Linked DNA regions of Elephas maximus indicus. The protein of the gene in region 1 purifies or fractionates together with the protein of each later gene. This does not show direct contact. Links are inferred from orthologs where the notes say so. Each region holds a gene or a part of one and is shown in the gene's direction. Other genes may lie near its edges.

Region 1 (7,409 bases):
AGCTTGACCTTGTACATGAAGACTAAGGCTTCCAGAAGCTGCAGGTGGCCCTCATGTTTCCCAGGAGGCCTGTTTTCCGACATGTGGGATGCCGAGGGGGAATTCAGCAGAAGCTCGCCAGGAGGCTCAGGATATCAGCCAGGCAGGAGGGGTTGTTTACAACCCTGGAAGGGCTTTGAAGCCAGTGGCCCCTGCCTGGGCCTCGTGGTCCTCCCCGATTCTGCACGTAGCTCCCAATCCCCCAGTGGGGCTGGCAGCCTTTCTAAGCCTGGATGGCTGCCAGGGCTGGGGCTCGGCTGCTCTGAGGCCCAGGCCCCTGACCCGCAGCCATCCCTGGCCTGAAGCCCTTGCCAGCTCAGCCCCTTCCTTCATCAGCATGCCCCTCTGTCGCCCAGCACTGCCCGTCCTTCCAGCCTCCCCTCCCTGTCCACCATACTTGGGCTCCATCAGCTCTGAGAAGACCCCTCCCTGGATAACGCTTCCCTCCTGCTCAGGCAGGGGACACTGTGTTCTCAAATGTCACCTCCTTGAAGAAGCTGCTGGACCCTCACCTGAAGCAGGCACTCTCCCCTGGGAACTCACATCACCCTATTTTTGTATTGAGATGTAATTTGCTCACCAGGCTCTTTACCCATTTAAAGTGCACAGCTCAGCGGTTTTTAGGGCATTCACAATGCTGTGCAACCAAAACCTTTGCCTGGTTCCCGAACCTTCTCACCGCCCCAAAAGGGAACCCTGTACCCATTAAAAGTCACTCCCCATCCCTCCTCCCCTGGTCCCTGGAAACTGCTAATCCACTTTCATCTCTATGGATTTGCCTATTCTGGACATTTCATATCAAAATGGAATCAGACAATATGTGGTCTTTTGTGCCTAACTTCTTTCACGGAGTATCATGTTTGTGAGGTCCGTCCACGTTACGGCAGGTATCAGTACTTCTTCCCTCTTTATGGCTGATAATCCGTTGTGTGGACGGACCACGTTGTATTATCTATTCAGCTGCAGATGGACACTTGGGCTGTCCCCTTTCTCCACATTATACGTCTGTATGTATATATATATATTTTTTATATATAGCTCGGAGTGGAATTGCTGGTCACATCAGTTTTACGTTTGAGTTTTTGTGGAGCCACCAAACTGTTTTCCACAGCGGCTACACCATTTTACCTTCCCATGAGCAATGGATGAAGATGCCTGTCTTCCCGCGTCCTTGCCAACACTTGTTATCATCTGTCTGTTTATAATAGCCATCCCAGTGTGGGTGAAGGGGCCCTTGGCGATGACTAATGATGTTAAGCACCTTTTCCTATGCTTATCAGCCTTTTGTACATCTTCTTAGGAAAACTGGCTATTCGGGTCTTTGCTGATTTTGTATTGTTTGTCTTTTTATTATAAGCTTGTAAGAGTCCTTTATAGATCCCAGGTATAAGTCCTTTATCAGACATATGATTTGCAAATACTTTCTCCTATTTGATGGGTTGTCTTTGCACTTTCTTGGTGGTTTCCTTTGAAGCACAGAAGTTTGGATGGGGTCCAACTTATCTACTTTTTCTTTGGTTTCTTGTGCTTCTGGTGTCATGTCTAAGAAACCATTGCCTAATCTAAGTCACAAAGATTTATCCCCATGTTTTCTTAGAAAAAAATTAAAATTTTCTGTTTTTTTTTCTTCTTCTAAGAGTTTTCTAGTTCAGTACTTATATTTAGGTCTTTGATCCCCTGGTGGTATAAACAGTAAATGTGCTTGGCAGCTAACTGAAGGGCTGGAGGTTTGAGTCCATCCAGAGGTGCCTGGAAAGAAAGGCCTGGCAATCTACTTCCAAAAAAAAATCAGTCACTGAAAACCCTATGTGTCCTTATAGTCCCATTTGGGAAGTGCTTTTCTTTGTTACGTTAATGAGGAAGTGTTAGTGTTGGGTGCGTCTTACATCAATCTCTCTTGAGACATAAAAGAGCAGATTAAGGAAGCAAGCTGAGGAGAGAGATGGGGGAAGACAGGTACCAAGTCACAGGAAGATCACGGAGGAACAGAAACTGAAAAGAGGTAAGGACCTTCCTCCAGGGCCAACAGAGAGGGAAAGCCTTCCCCGAGAGCCAAAACCCTGAATTCAGACTTCCAGCCTAAGTGTTAGAAAATAAATTCCTGCTTGTTTAAGCAAAAAAAGAAAGAAAACCCTACAGAGCACATACAGTTTCTACTCTGCCGCACTGGGCTACCGCCATGAGTTGGAATCGACTCAACAGCGATGTTTTTTACATTTGCATTTATCAGCATTTGAAATTACTTTATTGTTCTGTATGTTTCTGTAATGCTTTCCAATCATATTAAGTCTAAGTCACTCCTATCCTTGCATATATACATATATGTATGTACTCATAATATGAATTTAGAAATAGAAATATGTCTGCCTTTGTAGGCCTCTCTAACCATTAACTGTAAATCATTAGAAAGTGATTTAGAAATTCCTAACTGACAAATAGAAGCAAGTGAAGTGGGTGAAGAGCGTGAATAACCATAAAGTTGACTTAAACCTGGCATGCTGCGACGAAAGCAAACAGCATAGCAAGCTTCAGAAACTAGTCTTGAGATATAAATCTAAACAACTTCCTCATCTCTAACCCTGAAGAAAAGACGAGACATTCGGCTAACCTCTAACTCTGCAGAGAAGACGTTACCAACTAGTCTTTGATGTCACAGTGGGCCCATCCTGTGAGGCCAAGACGAGGCATCTGTATGTAAACCCTGAACTTCCGCCCACCCGCTGAGAAGGCAGAGATGGGAGCTCCTCGCTGCTGCCAACCTCGCGCCCAGCTGTGAGGGACCCCACCCGTGGTCGAGCCTTCCTCCCGAGACCACTCCTCAGAGAAAACGCCTGGAGTCTCTCAACACGGAGCTCTCACCACGGAGCTCTCACCACGGGGCTCCCACCACGGGGCTCCCACCACGGGCTCCCACCACGGGGCTCCCACCACGGGGCTCCCACCACGGGGCTGTCACCACGGGGCTCTCACCACGGAGCTCTCACCACGGGCTCTCACCACGGGCTCTCACCACGGGGCTCTCACCACGGAGCACTCACCACGGAGCTCCCACCACGGGGCTCCCACCACGGGGCTCCCACCACGGGCTCTCACCACGGGGCTCCCACCACGGGCTCTCACCACGGGCTCTCACCACGGGGCTCCCACCACGGGGCTCCCACCACGGGGCTCCCACCACGGGCTCTCACCACGGAGCTCCCACCACGGGCTCTCACCACGGGGCTCCCACCACGGGGCTCCCACCACGGGGCTCCCACCACGGGCTCTCACCACGGAGCTCCCACCACGGGCTCTCACCACGGGGCTCCCACCACGGGCTCTCACCACGGAGCTCCCACCACGGGGCTCCCACCACGGGGCTCCCACCACGGGGCTCCCACCACGGGCTCTCACCACGGAGCTCCCACCACGGGCTCTCACCACGGGGCTCCCACCACGGGCTCTCACCACGGGCTCTCACCACGGGCTCTCACCACGGGGCTCTCACCACGGGGCTCTCACCACGGAGCTCTCACCACGGAGATAACGGTGGCTGTTGCCTGATTCTCTGGCTCTACGGGCGGGGGCCTTGTTGCGTGCTTTGTTTGGCAGGACCCCCCTGCGGTAAACGAAACGAGTTTATGCGAGTCAAATCCGAGTGTTGATTAATTTCTGAGGCGAACACCCCACACGGCATTCATCGTTCGCGTCAGTGTGTGTAGTAAAAACACAGGCCCCAGGGCAGAGTTGCCAGACAAAATGGAGGTCGACCAGTGAAGCTGCAATTTCAGAGAAACACAAATAGGTTTTTTTTTTTTTTTAAATAACTATGTCCAAATATTGCACGGGACACTTAAACACTACAAAATTATTTGTTCTCTATCTGAAATTTAACTGCTGTCCGGTATTTTTATTTGCTAAGCTGGTAGCATCAAGCCAGGGGTTCGCATCCCACCTGGTCACAGCTGGCACCCTGTAGCCTCACTAAGAGCTTTTCCAAAGACTCGCTGCCGGAAGGACGAACGGACGCGGCCCACAGACTCTCCGAGAAGCCAGGGCGGGAAACGGCCTCCCAGCCGGGTCCTCGCCGGCCCCGCCCGCGTTTCCTAGCAACGCCGGGGCCGGGGGCCAGGAGGCCAGGAGGCGTGGCTCGCCGCGGACACGTGCCTGGTGCCGCCGCCCGGATGCCCTTAGCGCTAACCGGTCTGAGTCAGCGCGTGCGTACGTGCGCCCCCGCGCGTGCGCAAACGGACCGGCCGGCGTGCCCTGCGTGCGCGCGCCCCGGACGCCGCCCTGCGCGCGCGCGCCCGCGGCCTCTGCCGGTTCTTATTGCGGCCGCGGGCGGCGGCGGCGACGGGTGGCGGCAGTTGGCTGCGGCGGCGGAGGACGGACGAGGCGACATGGCGGCCGTGCTGCTCGTGGTGCTGGTGGCCGCGCTCCTGGGCGTCGAGGGCGCCTCCGGGGCGGGTGAGGACCGGGCCGGGGTCGCGACGCCCGAAGGGGGCCCGGCATGGAGGCCGCGGGTGCGGGGCGCCGGTGCGGGGCGCGGGGCGCCGGTGCGGGGTCCGGGGCGCCGGTGCGGGTGCGGGGCGCCGGTGCGGGGTGCGGGGCGCCGGTGCGGGGTGCGGGGTCTGGGGCGCCGGTGCGGGGTGCGGGGCGCCGGTGCGGGGTGCGGGGTCTGGGGCGCCGGTGCGGGGTGCGGGGCGTCGGTGCGGATGCGGGGCGTCGGTGCGGGTGCGGGGCGCCGGTGCGGGGTCCGGGGCGTCGGTGCGGGTCCGGGGCGCCGGGGGCGGCCGGGCGGAGTGGCGGTGAGGCCGCGCGCTGGGGGCTCCCGGGGAGCTCCGGACAGGCCTGGCTGAAGCCCGCGGCCGGGGCTCGCGGCGGGTGGGCTTCTCATCGGGACCTGGGAGCGAAGCCCCCGAGCTTGGGGGGAGCACCTGGGGCGCCTGGCCCGGGGCGGTGCTGGAGGTGCAGTCCCCAAGCTGCCGTTCGGGCCCCCGGGCTGGAGCCTCCGGGAGGGGACTGGCCCTGGATGAGGGCATATGGGGTGGGCTCCAGAGGTGGGCCGCCTGCCGCCGCTTCCAGCAGGAGCGTCTGGACCAGAGGGAGGGAGACCGGGGCCTGGGTCCTTGAGCGTCCTCCCCTTTGGGCCAGAACTGCGGGGTCGGAGTCTGGGCCTGGCCTCGGTCTCGTCTCATTCGTCCCGGGAGCCCCTTGGAGCCTGCAGGGCCTGGAGTGCGACCTGAGACTGGATCTCGGTGTCACCCCCTGCCTGGGGCCTGTGTTAGGGTAGGGGTGCAGCAGAAAGACCCACCTCCCCTGAACTCGGATCCATGGCTGTGGTCCCAGTATGTCCTGGGCAGCTTGGGCTTTCTCTTCTGGAAAATGGGCTCCTGTCATTCTCACACTGACGCGAATACAGGTGCATGTGAAATGGCTCAAAAATGGGTCAGCTTCCTGGGTGGGGGGATTATCATTCCCGATGGGATTTGGGCCTCAGCCTTGCTGTGGTGTGCACTGTCCCCTGTGCCACCTGGGGCCTGCTGCTGGGCCTCACCAGACCTTGGGCTCTAGTCCGCACCTGCTCCTACAGCTGGGGAAACTGAGGCCCAGGAGGGAGGGAAGATACTCCAAGGTCATGACGAGGTTGCCTTGGCCCCAAAGTTCAGGGTAGGAAATGTCCAGAGTAGTTTTTTAAAGATTCAGTGGTGGTGGATTTCCAGTGCAGTTTGCTGAAGTGGGAAGAATGGTCTGAGGGGAAACACAAGAAGGGCTCTCTTGCTTCATAGGGTTGTTCCTTTCCTGTATCTGGACTACACGTTTGGTTTTGGGTTAAAGATTTACGGTGTCCACACGCACATAGGGGACAGAGTGCAGACGTGAGGGCTGGAATCCGTGCTTGGGAGAGGTGGGGGCATCATTCTGGCAGTGGGCACAGTGGGTGGGAGCTCCTGACCAACTTCAAGACTGTTTGGTCTTCGCTTTTCTAATCACACAGCTGTTAACTGAGATGCTGAGACACAGATATGCCAGGGGGCGGCAGATAGGCTGTTGCTGGCAGGGGACCTTTAGAAGCCACCTGGTGTTGGGGACGCATCCTTATCTGGGTTCAAGCTCAACACACGTCTCACCTCGAACTAATGCTGAGCGCCACACTCTCTCCCGGGCAGGCGGTGGTCTGAGCTGAGCAGGAGTAGGGTGGAGTTGCCGGGCAGACTTGGTTCGTTTTCCTTTCTCATGCTGACAGCCCTGCTCTTCTCTCCCACTGGGGAAATCTGGGGCCGGGGGACCCACAGATGGCAGACAGTGCCCCGCAGCCCTGCTGTCTGCTCCACCCGGGCGGGGCGCCTCCCCTGCAGGCCTGGGCAGCTTGTTTACCTCCAGGCCCGTGGCTGGCCCCCAGCCCAGAGGGAAGCAGGAGGGAGTGGCTGTTTTTAGATGAAGGTGACTTTACTTGAGATCACAGGCTGCAGATCACGTGGCCAGCATCAGCTTTGACTTTTCTAGGAGCGGGGGGTCAGGGCTTCCTGAGGTCTTGAGTGCTCTTGGGGGCCTCCTGTGAACCCTGGGGGCCAGGCGGGATCCAATCCTAAACCTCCTGCAGAAGTGGGGGAGGCTTTTCTGCTTTTTTCAGTTCTTGCCCAGTAAGGGGCCTTTTGAGACATTTTTTACTAATTGTCCCACACTGAAAATTAACATCATGTGTGATCCTCACTGCCTCTTGAGAGTGGCCTTGACACTAGGGGTTTTTATCCCCCAGAGCCTACTTCTGCCCCTTGGGGACAACATCCACCTTGTTCGGAGCAGCCCCAGATCTCTAGGATGTGGCCCATGGATGCTGCCCCGCTGGTGCTGATAGATGGGGGTGGGGGTAGTCCACACTCACCCCTTCACAAACGCAGAGGGAACAGACTCTCCCCCCCCCCCCCGCCCCCCCCCCAGGCCTCTTTTCTAGCAGCTCTGGGTGGTGAGAACAGCTGTAAAGGTAGAGAAGCCCGCGGGGAGCGGGGGGACCTTAGACTCCACTTCCTGCCCTGTTCCAGCCCTGCCCTGCCCTGTACTCAGCTGCTGGTTTCGCAACTGGGGAGGCCTGATTCTCTCTGAGAAGCTCAGGAGACCAGAGGTGGCTCTCTGCCGAGGACAGTCGCCTTGCCTGCCTTGGGCTGCCTCGTGGGGGACCACTTGGCTCTTCTCACCACTGCCTTGGAACTGGGGCTGTGTGTGTGCATACGTGTGTGTGTCCCTCAGCAGTATTCAGGGACTGCACGACACATTCGTGGTGGGGGCCTGTGGGGGAGGAAGACACACCTGTGTGAGGACCTGTCCCTCTGCCCAAAGCAGACAGCACCTCCGGGAGCTGTGTCAGGATGCTTCTGCTGGGCTTCGCGCTT
Region 2 (7,023 bases), on another chromosome or scaffold:
CTGCTTTTCTGCTGTGATTGCATATTCGTGAAAGAGGGATGGGGTGGACAGTGTCAACAGTGGCTTGAGCCCTGCAGAGATTCACCTGCTCTGGGGAGGCCATGACACCTGACTGAAGAGAGCCGGGCTACAGCTAAAGAAGTAAAGTCAAGAGGAGGACAAGGATGAAAGACAAATGGGGTTACTCAGAGGCTTAGGGGAGCTGAACCTTGCAGAAAAGCCAAACTATGAACTTCTGATGCCAGAAGCAATGCCCTCCCTCCTGCCACAGGGGCACAACTCCACTTTCCCACATCTAGTGGTTATTTTTATGGATGGATTTATTTTTACCCATTCTAGACCTCAGCTCCAAACCTGCTGCTGGAAGCAACAAGGCACTGAGGCTTCTGGGTTTCCAGAAAGCACAGGCTTCAGTGGCTGGCTCACCTCCAGAAATCAGGCTTAAGTCACCCCTGGAGTCACCTTGTCCTACCACCCAAATCCCTCTCTCCTGTCTTCATGGAGGCTGGGGTGGGAATGGAACAGGGGAATTTCTCTTTTCTCACCCCACAACCCCCCAGGCAGAGAAGGGAAAGCAGTGGGCTCTGAGAAAAGGGAAGACCTACAACAACCATGCTGTTGTTGTTAGCTGCCATCAAGTCAACTCTGACCCGTGGCGACCCCGTGCATGCAGATTAGAATTGTGCTTCACAGGGTTTTCAAGGCTGTGATGTTTTGAGAGTAGATTGCCAGGCCTTACTTCAGAGGTACCTCTGGTGGGTTTGAACCATTAACCTTTTGGTTGGTAGTCCAGTGTACCACCTAGGGACTCCTTCCAACTACCTTAGAAGTCACAACCTGGGCTCATCCATGAAACCTAGCCAGAGGAGGTGGGACAGACATTAGGCTTCTTTCAGCAGCGCCTGCCCTGCTGAGCCTGTCTCCCTGAAGCCCAGGGAATTTAAGAAAAGGCTATTGCCTTTCCAATAATGACCAGCTGTCACCTGGCATCACGTCCAGCCCCCACATGCCAGACAGCCAAAGCAGACTTCCCCTTTAGTGGAGCCATACATCTGGCCTGAATTATTATTCCCCCAAGAAAAGTTTATCGAAGAGTTAGGCAATGCCTCCACATACAGCCACTGAAGACAAGCTTAAAATATACTGTAATACATTTAAAGAGCCATTTCGGGGACTGGCTTTCTCATGATAAAGATGCAACCGACACTCACTGGGTGCTAAAATGTCAAGTTGTTGCAATCCAGCAGAGAACATAACAAGCCACTAAATGTGAAGCTCTGTTCAGCTGATTTCTTTCCATTCATTCCCTTGCCTCCCCCAACAATTGATTTTGGTTCGTGAAGTTGACGTTTTGGTGGGACCTACCAAAATCTGAGAAGGTGTCCTTTCTATCCCAACCATCAGTAAAAATGAGGAGAACTCACAAGGCCAGTGCCAAGTTCTTCCACCGAAATGCCCTGGAAGGATAGGACCAGAAAATTGGAGAGAGGGGTGGGGTGCAAATGAGAACAAAACCTCACCGTAGTGTCCTCTAAGTGCCTAGGAACAGGGCAGTGGTGGCCCAGAGGTAGAATTCTTGCCTTTCACAGGGGGAGACGCGGGTTAGATTTCTTACCACTCGTCTGTCAGTGGAGGCTTGTATGTTACTATGATGCTGAACAGGTTTCAGCAGAGCTGAACTAGACTAGGACAGACTAGGAAGAAAGGCCTGGTAATCTACTTCTGAAAATCAGCCAGGGGAACACTATGGATCACAATGATCCAATTTGCAACTAACCATGGGGATGGTGCAGGACTGGGAAGCATTTTATTCTGTTATGCATGAGGTCACCGTGAGTCAGGAGCAGACTTGACAGCAGCTAACAACAATGATAAGTGCCTAGGAGGGCAAGAACTTCAAATCCTAGGAAAAAAGAACTGCTTGAGAAAATCCCATGGATGGTTTCCATAGATGTTGTTGCTGTTAGGTGCTATCAAGTTGGTTCCGACTCACAGCAACCCTGTGCACAACAGAAAGAAACACTGCCCAATCCTGCGCCACCCTCACAATCATTGCTACGCTTGAGCCCATTTTTGCAGCCACTGTGTCACTCCATCTCATTGAGGGCCTTCCTCTTTGTAGCTGATCCTTTACTTTACCAAGCACGACGTCCTTCTCCAGGGACTGGTCCCTCCTGATAACATGTCCAAAATAACACGTCCATGAAATGAAGTCTTGCCATCCTCGTTTCTAAGGAGCGTTCTGGCTGGACTTCTTCCAAGACAGATTTGTTCGTGCTTTTGGCAGTCCGTGGTATATTCAATATTCTTTGCCAATACCATAATTTAAAGGCATCAATTTTTCTTCAGTCTTCCTTATTCATTATCCAGCTTTCATGTGTCTTTGAGGCAACTGAAAACACCATGGCGTGAATCAGGTGCACCTTAGTCTTCAAAGTGACCCCTTTGCTTTTTAACACTTTAAGGAGGTCTTTTGCGTCAGATTTGCCCAATGCAATGCATTGTTTGATTTCTTGACTGCTGTTTTCATGGGCTTTGATTGTGGATCCAAGTAAAACAAAATCCTTGACAACTTCAATATTTTCTGTTTATCATGATGTTGCTTATCGGTCCGGTTGTGAGGATTTTTCTTAGAAAATTGGGAAGGGTGCTGACTGGCAGAATCCAAACCCTTGGGTTTCATTCACAACTCTGTTTCTCCATGTGCACAGTGAAATGGCCAGAAGGCTCTGTGTTCTGGGGAAGGGAAGGCTGCAAAGGAGGACAGGTGTTGTGTGAGGTGTTGGGTTAGGATGTTTGGATTAAAGAGGCCTTCTCCCAAACCTCTGTTAAGAAGGTTGGGAAGTTGTAGTCAGTAACCTTCTTCACAGCAGAATTTGCAGCTATAACCTATGAGGTGTGGGTTAACCTGCCTCCCATAGTCATGTAAATGTGAGTGAGCTTGTGTGCTGAGGTGGGTGTGGGAATCTATCAGTCAATGAAGCCGTGTTGTGCGAACCAGCTGATGGTGCATGTTTGTACTTGAAAGCCATAAAGTTCTATGCAAAATCTATGGGTGGCACTGTTGCACAATGCTGGTGGGGGTGTGAGTTTGGCGGTGGGATTACCTTTGTAGGCTGTATGCGAGTGCGCATGGATGTCTGAAATGTGTGCCACAGGACTGCAGAAAAGTACATGGGCTTGGGAGTCAGCCTGATTTGGCCTTAACTCCTGGTTCTGTCATTAACTAGATGTGTAAACTTGGGCGAATCACTGGGTCCTTATTTTCCTCACCCACAAAATGAGAACAATAATAAATATCTTTCAAGATTGCCGTGAGGATTAGAAACCATACCACATATACAAAGCTTCTGGTGTCCTAGGTGGCACATCGTAGGACTCAGGGTAGGCAGCTATTATCACCCACCCTATATGGCCTCTGGTGCGTACAGAAGCAAGAGAGGGCAAAATGCCACCCAGGAATCTGTGTGTGAAATCTGGTGGAGAAGGTTTGTACCAAGGTGTGTACATAAACAAAGCTACACACACACACACACACAGAGTGCAATTCCTTCTTCCACTCCAGGAGTCCCTATTCAGAGGGGCGGGAGGGTGGGAGATAAAAGTCTCCGCAGATTCTTTGGGTTTCTAGGCTTCTGGGTCCCGAGTCTAAGCCAGTAAGAAGTTGAGAGGCTGGTAGGAGCTGCAGGAAGCCAACCGCCTGCAGAAGCTTCCTTTTTTTCCCTCCACCCAGCAACGGTTGAATACCGCCACCCATATCCACTCCCCACCTTCCCCCCCCACCCCCCCACCCCCGACTCTGCTTTCTTTTCAACAAGTGAGAGTAAGGGCGGGGAGGAAACCCGAGTGAGAAGGGGATTCCTCCGGTTCCCTTCCCCATTCCCCCTTAAGACACACCAGGAAGCAGCCGCAGCGCGCGGTCGGGCCACCTTAACAGCGGAGTGATGGTCTGGCCTGGCGCCAAGTCCCACCTCGGTTCCAGCTCCGGCTCCTCCCCTTGCTCCGCCCGCACTGCTCCGGGGAGCTGGTGAGCGAGGGTCTGGCCGGAGTTGGCAGGAGCTGTTGCCATGACAAGCATTTTCTTAAGAAAGCTCTGCTGTTGAGGCCATCCAAATCTAGGGACTGGGGGTGGGGGGGGCGCCAACTTCCTGGGGAACCATCCCTCCAAGGAGAGCAAGATCAAAGACACCCGCCCAGCTCTCCCGAACCCTTTTTCTTCCAGGGACCTGAGAGGTCTTTCCCTTTGGAAGGGCCGAGGAGGAAACCCAGCCCACTCCCCGGATCTGGCAAGAAAGGCCAGAAAGCAAAGCCAGCGTCGCTAGAGCGGTTGCCACAGTGGGGAGGCCGGCGGGTGGTCACCGTCACCCTATCCCGGTCCATGGTGACCCGGAGGGAGAGCCCCGCTCGGAGAAGCCCGGATCCTTGCTAGAAAGAGGTAGGCTTGCTTGGAATGAATTGACTCTTGATTTGCAAACTTTCTTTCTTTCTTTTGAATCGTTTTAAAACTCCCTGAATTTCTGCTTCCGAGCATATTTTATGTGACTGGGTTTGGAGATTTGGGGGGATTTTTTCCGTGTGTGCCTGTGAACAGATTTGTCAAATATTTCTTTCCTGGACTTGGTTCTGAGAAATCACATAATCAAACAAGTGATTTCTTTTGTTTTTCCTGGTTCTTGTCATTCCTGGGCTGTGGGGGTTAGGGAAACGACAGGACTGTTCTGACACCCAAATTGAGCTCTTAGAAAAGCATTTATTTCTCCCGTCCGTTCCTGTCCTCCGCCTCCCCCTTGGCTTGGGAATCAGACGCAGAATGGAAAACTGTTGCAAAAATATTTTCCGTGTCTGTTCTCTTTCTCGAAAGCCCCAAAGAGAGATGGAAAAAAAAAAAAAAAAAAAAAAGAACCAAGTAAGAAATCTTCAGCAGGAAGGAGGGGCTGCAGTGGGGACTGGAAAAGGGGTGCCCTGGGGGGGGGCTAAGAGAGGCGCACAATGGGAAGGGGGGTGCACAAAATAAATTTCTTTGGCTTTGCGGAGAAACCTCGGCGTTTTCTCTCTGCCTCTTGAAAACATCCTCAGACTTTCACGGCTATAATTAGCTGTGGAAAAAAGCTAGGAGTTCCCTAGTACCGCTGTTGTTTGAGTGTGTGCCAGCGTCGGGAACCAACTGTATGAGTGTGTCTGAAGGGCACCACCCCACACATCTCGGGTCCCAAAAGGGAGGAAGAAGGGGTGAAGTTGGAAAGTTTGCGATGTCAAGGCCGGTGACCTGGGGCTGGTGAGGGCTTGCCGTTTGGGGGTTGCCGAGAGGCATCCTCGGGGAAGTCGGGGTGGGGGGAGTCCCTGAAGCGTCTTGGGCCTCAGTGTTGTTTTGCTGAGGAGCTAGAAACTAAGGCCGGAATTGTCCCTCCTGCCCTTCGTTCTCACACACACACCACAGTCTCACACACTCACATCCTAGGCCCACTCCCGGCGGAGGATCCCGGCTGGCACCCTCCTTGCAGCGAGTCCAGCCTCACACGCGCCATCGCGCCAAGGCACCCACTGCTCTTCTCCAGCGGGATGTGGAGGGCCCGGGAGTGGCAGCGGCCGCCGCATCCTGGGAGAGGAGTGGGCACTCTGTTAGCCAGAGGCGCCTCCCTCCTGGGCATTCCTGCAGGACTTACAATAACTTGCAGACAAGATGCTGGCGCTGCTGGCCTAGTAGGGGGAATGTCAGATGAAGAAATAGGCGGGCACTCAACCGACGCCGCTGGGGGGAAGGGAAAAAGGGGTAGGGAGGGAGGGAAAATAAAATCCGGTTCCACAGCGCCATCTCCTCTTCTGGGTGGGGTGCCACTCTCTCTTTGAGCCCCTCCCCAGAGCGGCCCCTTCTCTCTGCCCTTCTCGTTTGGATGACCCCCCTCCAGCCCCTCACTTCTGGGCCTTCTTTACCTGGAAGGAAGAGATCAGGGGGGTATTCCAGGCTGGGACGGCGGTGGAGAGAGGCCTTGGGGTAGGGAAGGGCTGGATGGAGAGGACCTTAGGAGGAAGGGGGCTGGCAGAGGTGGTGGCTAGTGAGCCCACTGACCCTCCTTGGCTGTGGATGGTGGCTTCGGGGGGCTGGCTCTGGAGGGGTGGTGGCAGCTTGGTGGACAGGTGGTCTGGAAGGTGACTCCTGTCCCTGAAGCAGGCAAATCTGTGGGCAGCGGGCTGGGGGAGAGGAAACACCTGCCCTCAGCCCCAACTAGAGAAACTGGGGAGGAAGGAAGCAAAAGACCAGGAGAGCTTAAATGGGGGACAGGAAGCAACAGGAACCACTTTTCATTTTGAGGTGTTGGAGTATTGATCTGGCTGCACCCCAAGGCTAGATGGCTTCTCCCTGCCTGTGTTCTGTTCCAGAAGGTAATGAGGCCTTCTCCAGTGCTAAGAGGTCACAAGCCATAATCAGTGCCCTTCCTCTGTAGGAAGGGGGCCCAAGGAATCCATTTCTTTGCTACTTATCCAGGAGCCCCATCCTCCTTTCCACCATCTTGCTGAGGTGCAACCCCGAAATCAGGCCGCACCGTGCCCTTCCTTGTGCCCTTCAGTGTGCCCTTGCGTCTTGGGGGTACTGAATCTCACCATTCGGGCAGCAGGCCTATTTTCAGTATTCTGACTTGGAGCGGATCCTTTTGGGGGAGGGCTTCTGCCTGCAGGTTCCGATTTAGCGCCCACCTTGGCGCCAGCTCCACGACCTGGTGTCCTGGGTAGGGGGCAGCGGTGGAGCCTGCTCTCTGCAGCCCCAGCCGGTCTCGCGGGTGCTCCAGGGCAGGGATCGATACTGCAGCAAGCCCGCGGACCCCTCCCCTCTGGGCTGCCTCGCCGCCCCGCCTCGCCCCACCCCGCTCCGCCGTCAGCCTCTCCCGCAGCTCGGCTCCACCCTCCCCGGGTCTGCCGTAATCTAAGTACTCGGTGGAGAAGATGCTAGTGCTGCAGGAGCGGGGGTTTGCTGCCGTCCAGACCCTGCTAAGGCTCAGTCACTTCCCCTTCCACTTACCACCTCCG
Region 3 (8,045 bases), on another chromosome or scaffold:
CCAGAGATGCCTTGGAAGAAAGGCCTGGTGATCTACCTCTGAAAATCAACCAATGAAAACCCTATGGAACTCAGTTCTATCCTGACACACATGGGTCGTCATTAGTCAGGCTGACCTGATGGCAACTGATTTCGATGATGGTTTTTCTCATCCTCTATTTATCCCTCTCACCTGCTCTCTCCCAGCCTGTCTCCTCCCTCTTACATCTACATCTCCATCTGCCCTGCCTCCTCCTCCAGGGAGACCAGGAAGGCAGTGTCCCCATTTGCAGCCGGGGGTCCCAGGGCACTGGGGGAGCTGCCATAGCTCTGGCCAGAGCCAGCTTTGGTGTGGGTCAGGAGGTCCCATCTCCTCCCCTGCCTGCACTGTCAGTGCCTGCGGGTCCCAAAGTCCAGAGAGAAAAGGGACTTGCCCATGGCCACTGGGGTGGTCAGGGCCAGGTGGCAACCAATTCCAGGTCAGAGTCCCAGTCAAGAATCCTCCCCTCGCTCCTTTGCAAGTCTCTCCAGATAGCTCTTCTCTCTTTTATCCCTGGAGCTCTCGGTTGGTTTTGTCTGTGTCTGTCTGTCTGTCTCCTTCCCTGTCTCAGTAACTCTAAGTTCTTTTCCTCTTCATGTCTCCATGGTTCCCTTTCTCCCTCTTTCTTTTCCCCTCTGACTTTTCCCCCTCTCTCTCTTCCCCCTTCCACCTCTCTCCTCCTTTCTTTCCCTTCTCTCCCCCATCTCCTTTGCTCTCCCTCTCTTCTTCCCTCTTTGGGTCTGTATCTCTTTCACACCCCCCCCGCCCTGTCTCTCTCTTCCTGCCTGTCTCACCTGCCACTATCCCTTCCCTTCTCTGCCTTCCTCTCCTCAACCCCACCTCTCCCCCCCCATCTGCTCCCCACCCTGTCCCTCCTTCCCATCCCTCCCCTGTCTCTCTCCACCCTTCCATGGCTTTCTGTCTCTCTCCCCCACTCCCCTGCCACCTCCCATCTCTTTCTCCCTCAGAACATCTTGGTATCTGTCTCCTTCCCTCAGCATCACCATTGCCCCAAAAGTTCAACACTGAAACCGGAGCCAAAGTTACTTCCCTCTTCCACCCACTGTGTCCCCCTGGTTGGCTGGCTCTGCCCCCTCCCCAGAATAAGGAAGGCGGGTCCTTCAGAGATGAAAGGAGGCAATGAATTCAGTGGGATCCAGAGAGAGTTGGGGAGGGATTTCTAAGTCCTTTTGCCACCCGCCCCCCCCCCACCAATTCTCTAACTCAGCTAAGTTCTTGTATAGCAGAGTAAGACAGACTGAGACCCTAGGGCCCTCCTTTACTGGCTTTCCCACCCACCAGGAAGTCCTCCTTTAGGTCTGACCTCAAGCTCTGTAGTTGCCCTAATCCACCCTAGGCTTTCCCACGCCCCAGGGCTGAGGTGAAGCCCGGTGTCCGGGTCTAAGCCGGATCTCCCCCGCCAGGGTGGGGCTGAGATGGGGGGAAGCCCTCAGGGGACCTGCACCCCCACTGCAGGAGGCTAGAATTTCTTCCCTTTCATTTCCTTATTGTTCCTGAGGGAGGGTGTGACGGGAGCAGAGGTAGGCAGTGCAAAGCCAGAAGCCTAGTGTCCAGTCCCTGGCCCAGCCCTGGGCTTCAAGCAGCCCCCAACACTCCTCTGGGCTTCAATTTTCCATCTCTAAAATGGGGGAGCAGTGGATCAGCTGATCTCTAAGAACCTGAGGCCAGTAGGGGTGGACCAGGGGTGATAACTTTCCAAACTCTCTTGACAGGGAGCCAGCCTGGGGGTATCAACATCACCCCAGCAGGAAGAGGTGGTTTGAGGACCCTGTTGGTTGCTGGGTGAGTGTAGGTATTTCTGGCCCCATTGTTCCGGCCCAGAGGGAAGGAGGTGGGTTAATCTGATGGGAGGGTTTGGGGAGACTCCCAGACAGTACCCTCCAAACCATTTCCAGCTACCCATATGTGGACTCTTCTAAAATATGCCCCCAAACTGTCCCCAAATGTTGATCCCCTCTGGATTGTCCTTCAATTTCTGAGTTATCTAGACTGTCCGTGCAAATTGTTCCCCTAAACTTGGATCCATCCAGACTGCATCCCAAATATTGATTCCCCCAGCATAGACTCGCCCACAAACTACTTCTAAGATGTGCCCCCAAAACACTGATTAGTGGATGGTCCTCTTAAGCCAAATGCCTAGACTCTGAGCTCTCCAGGAGGCCCGGCTAGAATCCCCCCACTAGCCAGGAGCCTCCACTTCCCACCCTGGTCTCCACCTTTCCCATCTCACCACTGACACCTCTAGCTGCCCCGCCTCTACCTCTCAACACTCCCAGCCCCTTCCCCAGCTGGCCCTTCCCTATCCCACGTGCACTTCACACCTCCACTGCCCCATGACTGGCCCCTCCTAGGCACACTGCCAGGCCCCACAGGTCTGGGGATCCAGGAGACCCACCCTACAGCTTCAAACCCCAGACCCAGGACTCAGGCATGCTGGGGCCCACATAACCCCCAGATCTCAGTCTCCCTGGAAAACTCAGCCATTCCAGCCTCACATCCCCACCTCAAGCTTGCAGTTTCCTTCCAGGTTAGGAACACAAGCATCCAGACCCCGTAACTCTCAGACTAGGATCCCCTACTCCCAGGTCTCACAATATGGACTATAAAAAAAACCCAATGCCGTCCAGTCGATTCCGACTCATAGTGACCCTATAGGACAGAGCAGAACTGCCACACAGAGTTTCCAAGGAGGGCCTGGTGGATTCCAACTGCCAAACTTTTGATTAGCAGGCGTAGTTCTTAACCACTATGCCACCAGGATTTCCATGTGGACTATAGAGTGAGTAAAGAAAGCAGCAGGAATCCTTGCAACAAGGGGAACAGTAGTTAGACTTGGAGAAGGACTTCTTGTCTCCTGGCCTGAGGGAATTAGGATAAACCCCCACCCACAAATCCAAGGAGGCCTTGTCTAAAATCAGACTGGATGAGGACATTAGCAATTGCTGGAGGTTGCTGGGGGGCAGGGATAATCTGAAACCCTCCACCCTCCAAAGAGGGGAGTCCCTGCTAAAGGACTCTAATAGCAGTTAAGTTCAGCTGGGAGGGGCTGCGAGTCCTGGGGAAGGATGGGAGGATGGAGATTGAAACACACCCTCTAAATACCCGCAAAGGTGATGCCCACATCTATCCGAGCCCCAACTCTAACCTGTCTGTTATCTCGGACCCCCAAAAGAAAGCTTCATCTCTGAACACCCCCATCTCGTACTCCTGAGTGCCAACCACTATTCCTGGCCCTATCTTAGATGGCCACCTTGATCCTCATTCCTGAACCCCCAACTTTACCACCATATTCTAAACCTGAGCTCCCACCTCCAAAACCTATTGTCGTCCAATCGATTCGGACTCATAGTGACCCTATAGGACAAAGTAGAACTGTCCAATAGGGTTTCCAAGGCTGTAATCTTTACAGGAGCAAATGGCCAGCCAGGTCTTTTCTCCCGCGAGGCAGCTGGTGGGTTCAAACCTCAGGCCTTTCCATCAGCAGCAGCAGCTGAACGCTTAACCACTGCGCCATCAGGACTCCTTGCTCCCACCGCAAACCTCCCTTAGTGGTTTCTCCCTACCCCCAGCTCATTATCTTTCCTCCAACTTTGAACCCCATTTCCTAATTCTTCAACTCTGTCCGCTACCCTGGAGCTCGGATTCCTATCTTTGGTTTGTTCATTTTAATCCCTGGGATTTCGGGTCCCCAAAACCCAGCCTTCACGTTTAAACTATGACCTGACCTTTGCCTACGTTTTCCTGACTCTTATTTGAGCCCTCACCCCGGCTCGCCTGCCGAAGCCGCGAGTCCATGCCTTGTCCCCTGTCCCGGATTCGCACACCTGGTTTTCGTGTCCCCCGTTCCTTGTCTCCCCAGTTAGATGCCCCGGTCCCGTTTGAGCCCACGCGCCTATCCCTGTCCCCATTTAAACCCACACCCGGGTGCCTGCCCCCCACTTCCCGCTCCGTCATCCCCGAGGACACACCTCGCCCGCCTCGGGGTAGTAGCTCCACTCGGCCAGGTCATGGGCCTCCATCTTCACCGAGCCCAGCATCCCCGGGGCCTGCGCCCCCACCCGCTCCCGTTCCGGTCCCGGGGGAACGGAACACTTCAGATCGCTCAGCAGGAACGGCCCGACTCCGAACGGCGCCTGCCCGTCCGACTGCCCGGGGTCCCCGCCGTCCCGGGCGCCGCGGGAGGCGGCCACGCTTTATAGCCGGGACACCCCCGCCCCTCGCCCGCCCCGGACTGCCCTCCCGCCTCCCCGAGGGCGGTGCGCTCGGCCTGGGGCGCCCCCTGCGGGACTGCGAGGAGAGAGACCTCAGGCGCCGGGGACCGCATTCCGGGGACGCGAGAGCAGGAGATGGCTGAAGAGTGAGGGAGCTGCCGGGGTGAGACCCTGCTGATATTAAAGGCCCCGAAGGTACAGCTCTGGAGCACTTCTACCCGAGGGGGAGGGACATGTTCATCACCTCGACAAAAGAGAACCAATATCCAGAGCCCAGCATGGCAACGGCGGAGGAAAGGGGCGCAGCGCGCAGGGCGCTCTAGGGGTACCGATGTACCACTATCAGGACCCTTAGCAGAGCCTGGAAAGCGCACTCCCAATGTACAGATGAGAATACTGAGGCTTCCGACGGCTGGAAATGTTCAGACTGGAAAGAAAGGGTCAGGGCTAAGGATGGGGAAACCGGGCCTCTGATCATACCACACTAGGACAACAGACCACCTCGAAGCTTCGCCTCCGGGATTCTTTAAGCTCTCCAACCCCGCCGTCCAGGGACTCGGAACCACTGGGAACTCCATTTCCCAGAAGCCTCTAGCTCCCTTTCCGCCCTGTGCCTCTACCAAGGGACTACATTTCCCGGAAGCCTGTGAGGGGCGGTCTCAGGGCACTCTGGGGAAGTGAGGAAGGCCGCTCGCGCCGCACGAGGTAAGGGCGGGGTCGGGGCGGTCTGGACTCCATTTCCCGGCAGCCCTGCGTGCGCAGCGCGTGCGCAGTGTCACGGCGGCGAGGGAAAGATGGCGTCGGTGGCGTCTGTGAGGAGGCGCTGCTGAGGGGGCGCGAGGGGGACGGAGGCCGGAGCCGCGGTGAGCGGGGGACGGCCTGGGGGCCGGGGAACGAAGGGAGGAGGGGCCCTCAGGAGGCGGGGGCGCTGGGGGGCCGCGACAGGAGAGGGGAGCAGTGGCGTTCGGGACCCTTGTTTCTTCCCCTGCTCAGCACCCTTCCGTGGCTCCCCAGTGCCCTCAGGGCAAAGTTCCAATGTGGCCCCCAAAGCGCGCCCGCCCCGCCGACCTCGCCGGCTTCCTCGCTGCCTTTTTGCTCACCCCCCACCTCTCACAGCTGCACCGGCTTTTCGGTTCCTCAAACTTGCCGTGCAGCTCCCCGCCTCATGGCTTTTGCACATGCTGACCCTTCTGCCCGCAGTACCCTTTTACCCATTCTGCCTGGCTAATTCCCATTCATCCTTTGGGGCCGGGCGCAAACGTCACTTCCCCTGCGTAGCACTCCTGGGGAGGATTTTGGGTCGACTTTGAATGAGATGTGGGAGTGACAGGCAGCAGGGAGCATAGGCAAGAGGCTGTTTACTCAGTTTACTTATGTGGTGCTGCTCTAACAAATGCCACAAATGGATGGCTTTAACAAAGAGAAATTTATTTTGTCCCAGTCTAAGAGGCTAGAAGTCCGAGTTGAGGGCGCCAGCTCCAGGCTTTCTTTTTCTGTCTGTTCTAGGGAAAGGTCCTTGTCATTAATCTTCACCTGGTCTAGTAGCTTCTCAACCCAGGGACCCACTCCCTTTCTGGTTCTTCATTCTTGATGCCATGAGGTCCTTCTGTCTCTTTGCTTGCTTCTCTGTCTTTTATATCTCCAAAGAGGTTGACTCAGAAGACAACCTAATCCTGTAGATTGAGTCCTGCCTCATTAACATCATAGAGATAGGATTTACAATGCATAGGAAAATCACATCAGATCACGAAATGGTGGACAGTTGCACAATACTGGGAATCACGGCCTAGCCCAGTTGACACACGTTTTTGGGGAACACAATTCAATCCATAACTGTAGTCATTCATTCAGCAGACATCTATCAAATAGCTACTCTGTACAGTACATAATGTTCCTTTTTAAAAACGTATCTTTTTTGCCCTCCCTAAATTCTGTTCCCCTGAGGTGATTATTGCTAATGGTTTGTGGACTGTTTTTCAGCTCTTTTCCCGTGTAGGTAACAATAGCCATACTCATCTAACATTTACTACATATACTAAGAATAGCCTTGGCAGTCAGGCACTGTTACCATCCCCGTTGTACAGAGATAGAAACTGAGACCCAGAGAGATTAAGTTTCTTACCTCAGGTTATTCTGTGAATACACACGCAGAAGCTTGGCAGAAATGGATTGAATTGCACGTACTGTTTTGTGACACAGCAGACTGTCGTAGACATCCTGTCCTGATAGTACATGAGATCCGCCACTTTTTTTTTTTACTGTTTTCTCCCACTTACGGTTTTTGGTTTGTCTTTTCAGTTTGTTGTTTGTTTGCTTTTTTGTATGTATATATGTATATATTTGTTTTTATAGAAGTGGAGCATATGGTGATAAACACCACCTTCCTCTTTACTTCCTTTAACTTAATATAACACAGGAGTCTGCTCCCCATCAGTGTATAAAGATTTTCTTTATTTCTTTCTTTTTCCTCTTAGTCCTTTTTCCAGTGGCATAGTATTTATCATGTGGTTGTATCATAATTTTTCAACCAGTTCCATTATTTAAGAACGTGTGGGTTGTTTCTGGCCTTTTGCTATTACGAATAGAGCTGTCATCGAGATCCTTCTACACTAATCATTTTATGATATTACCAGTATAACTTTGGGATGTTATTGCTAGCGGCCGTCCAGTCAGTCTCCAACTCATGCTAACCCCACACACAATGGAACAAAATCCTGCCTGGTCCTGGCCACACACACGATTGGCTGGGAATCGGACTGTTGTGATCTGTAGGGTTTCCGCTGGCTGATTTTCAGAAGTAGATAGCCAGGCCTTTCTCTCTGGTTCGTCTTAGTTTGGAAGCTCCACCAAAACCTGTTCAGCATCTTGACAACACATAAGCTTCCACAGACAGGCAGGTGATAGCTGCGCATGAGGTGCACTGACTGGGTATCAAACCCAGGTCTCGCTCATGGAAGGCTAGAATCCTATCACTGAGCCACCACTGTCCAAAAGTCCCCCCTCCCCTCCCAGCTCCATAGTATTCCAGAGAATAGCTGTAATATAACCTCTTTAACTAGGGCTTTTCTGATGTATCGGGTACCGACTGTGGGCAGGGCTGCTCCATGATTGGAGTTCCTCAGAGCTTTGTTTGAGAAAGTCAGGAAGCATGGAGACCAGTAAGGTGGCTTCTGTGGTTCATTTGGCATCCAGCCATTCAGCAGATGTTCTGGTCTGCTTGCTGTATATAAAGTACTGGAGCTGGAACTTGGGGACCTGCCTCTGACCTGGAAGTCCATCAGGGAAGGCGAGTGACATCAGTCTCCCCCAGATTACAACCACCATGCACACGTACATGTAGTCTGGAGTAGGCCGGGACTTTGGAAGGCAGGACAAGGAAAGGACAGGCTGGGGAAGTGGGTTGAGCCCTGTGTTGGTGATGGGGTGTAGGTCAGCTTGACCCATCCCCTTCTTCCCCAGGGGATACCTGACAGCAGCCATGGCGAGCAGCAGTGGGGACAGTGTTACCCGCCGGAGTGTGGCCTCTCAGTTTTTCACACAAGAGGAGGGAGCAGGCATTGATGGCATGACCACCTCAGAAAGGGTGAGTGTGGAGAGAAGGGCTCGGAGTTGGGATGCACAGCCCTGGCTTTCGGCGGGCCACCCCCACCCCCAGATCACAGAGCCTTGGGAGTGCCAATGGGCTAGGCTGGCAAGGCCAGCACCACCCCCTGCCTTTCTTTCCCCTCTAGGTGGTGGATCTCCTGAACCAGGCAGCACTGATCACCAATGACTCAAAGATCACAGTGCTCAAAC

The links.
Region 2: the proteins of BSG (region 1) and ATP2B4 purify together in Homo sapiens (affinity purification with mass spectrometry; 3 studies listed by BioGRID and IntAct, counting the BioPlex papers as one, with this or other methods). This does not show direct contact. The link is inferred for Elephas maximus indicus from reciprocal best matches to the Homo sapiens genes BSG and ATP2B4.
Region 3: the proteins of BSG (region 1) and SYMPK purify together in Homo sapiens (co-immunoprecipitation; 3 studies listed by BioGRID and IntAct, counting the BioPlex papers as one, with this or other methods). This does not show direct contact. The link is inferred for Elephas maximus indicus from reciprocal best matches to the Homo sapiens genes BSG and SYMPK.

Annotation. Positions count from the first base shown.
Region 1 is NC_064821.1:308,621-316,029, forward strand, and holds the start of BSG (basigin), read left to right. Parts: upstream 1-4,321; 5' UTR 4,322-4,418; coding exon 4,419-4,485; intron 4,486-7,409.
Region 2 is NC_064836.1:12,759,315-12,766,337, forward strand, and holds the start of ATP2B4 (plasma membrane calcium-transporting ATPase 4), read left to right. Parts: upstream 1-4,017; 5' UTR 4,018-4,435; intron 4,436-7,023. UniProt on the Homo sapiens protein: Calcium/calmodulin-regulated and magnesium-dependent enzyme that catalyzes the hydrolysis of ATP coupled with the transport of calcium out of the cell. By regulating sperm cell calcium homeostasis, may play a role in sperm motility.
Region 3 is NC_064829.1:103,798,541-103,806,585, forward strand, and holds the start of SYMPK (symplekin), read left to right. Parts: upstream 1-5,028; 5' UTR 5,029-5,113; intron 5,114-7,679; exon of another isoform or gene 7,680-7,709; 5' UTR 7,710-7,728; coding exon 7,729-7,833; intron 7,834-7,981; coding exon 7,982-8,045. Other genes in the region: FOXA3 (hepatocyte nuclear factor 3-gamma), read right to left, coding at 4,008-4,076. UniProt on the Homo sapiens protein: Scaffold protein that functions as a component of a multimolecular complex involved in histone mRNA 3'-end processing. Specific component of the tight junction (TJ) plaque, but might not be an exclusively junctional component. May have a house-keeping rule.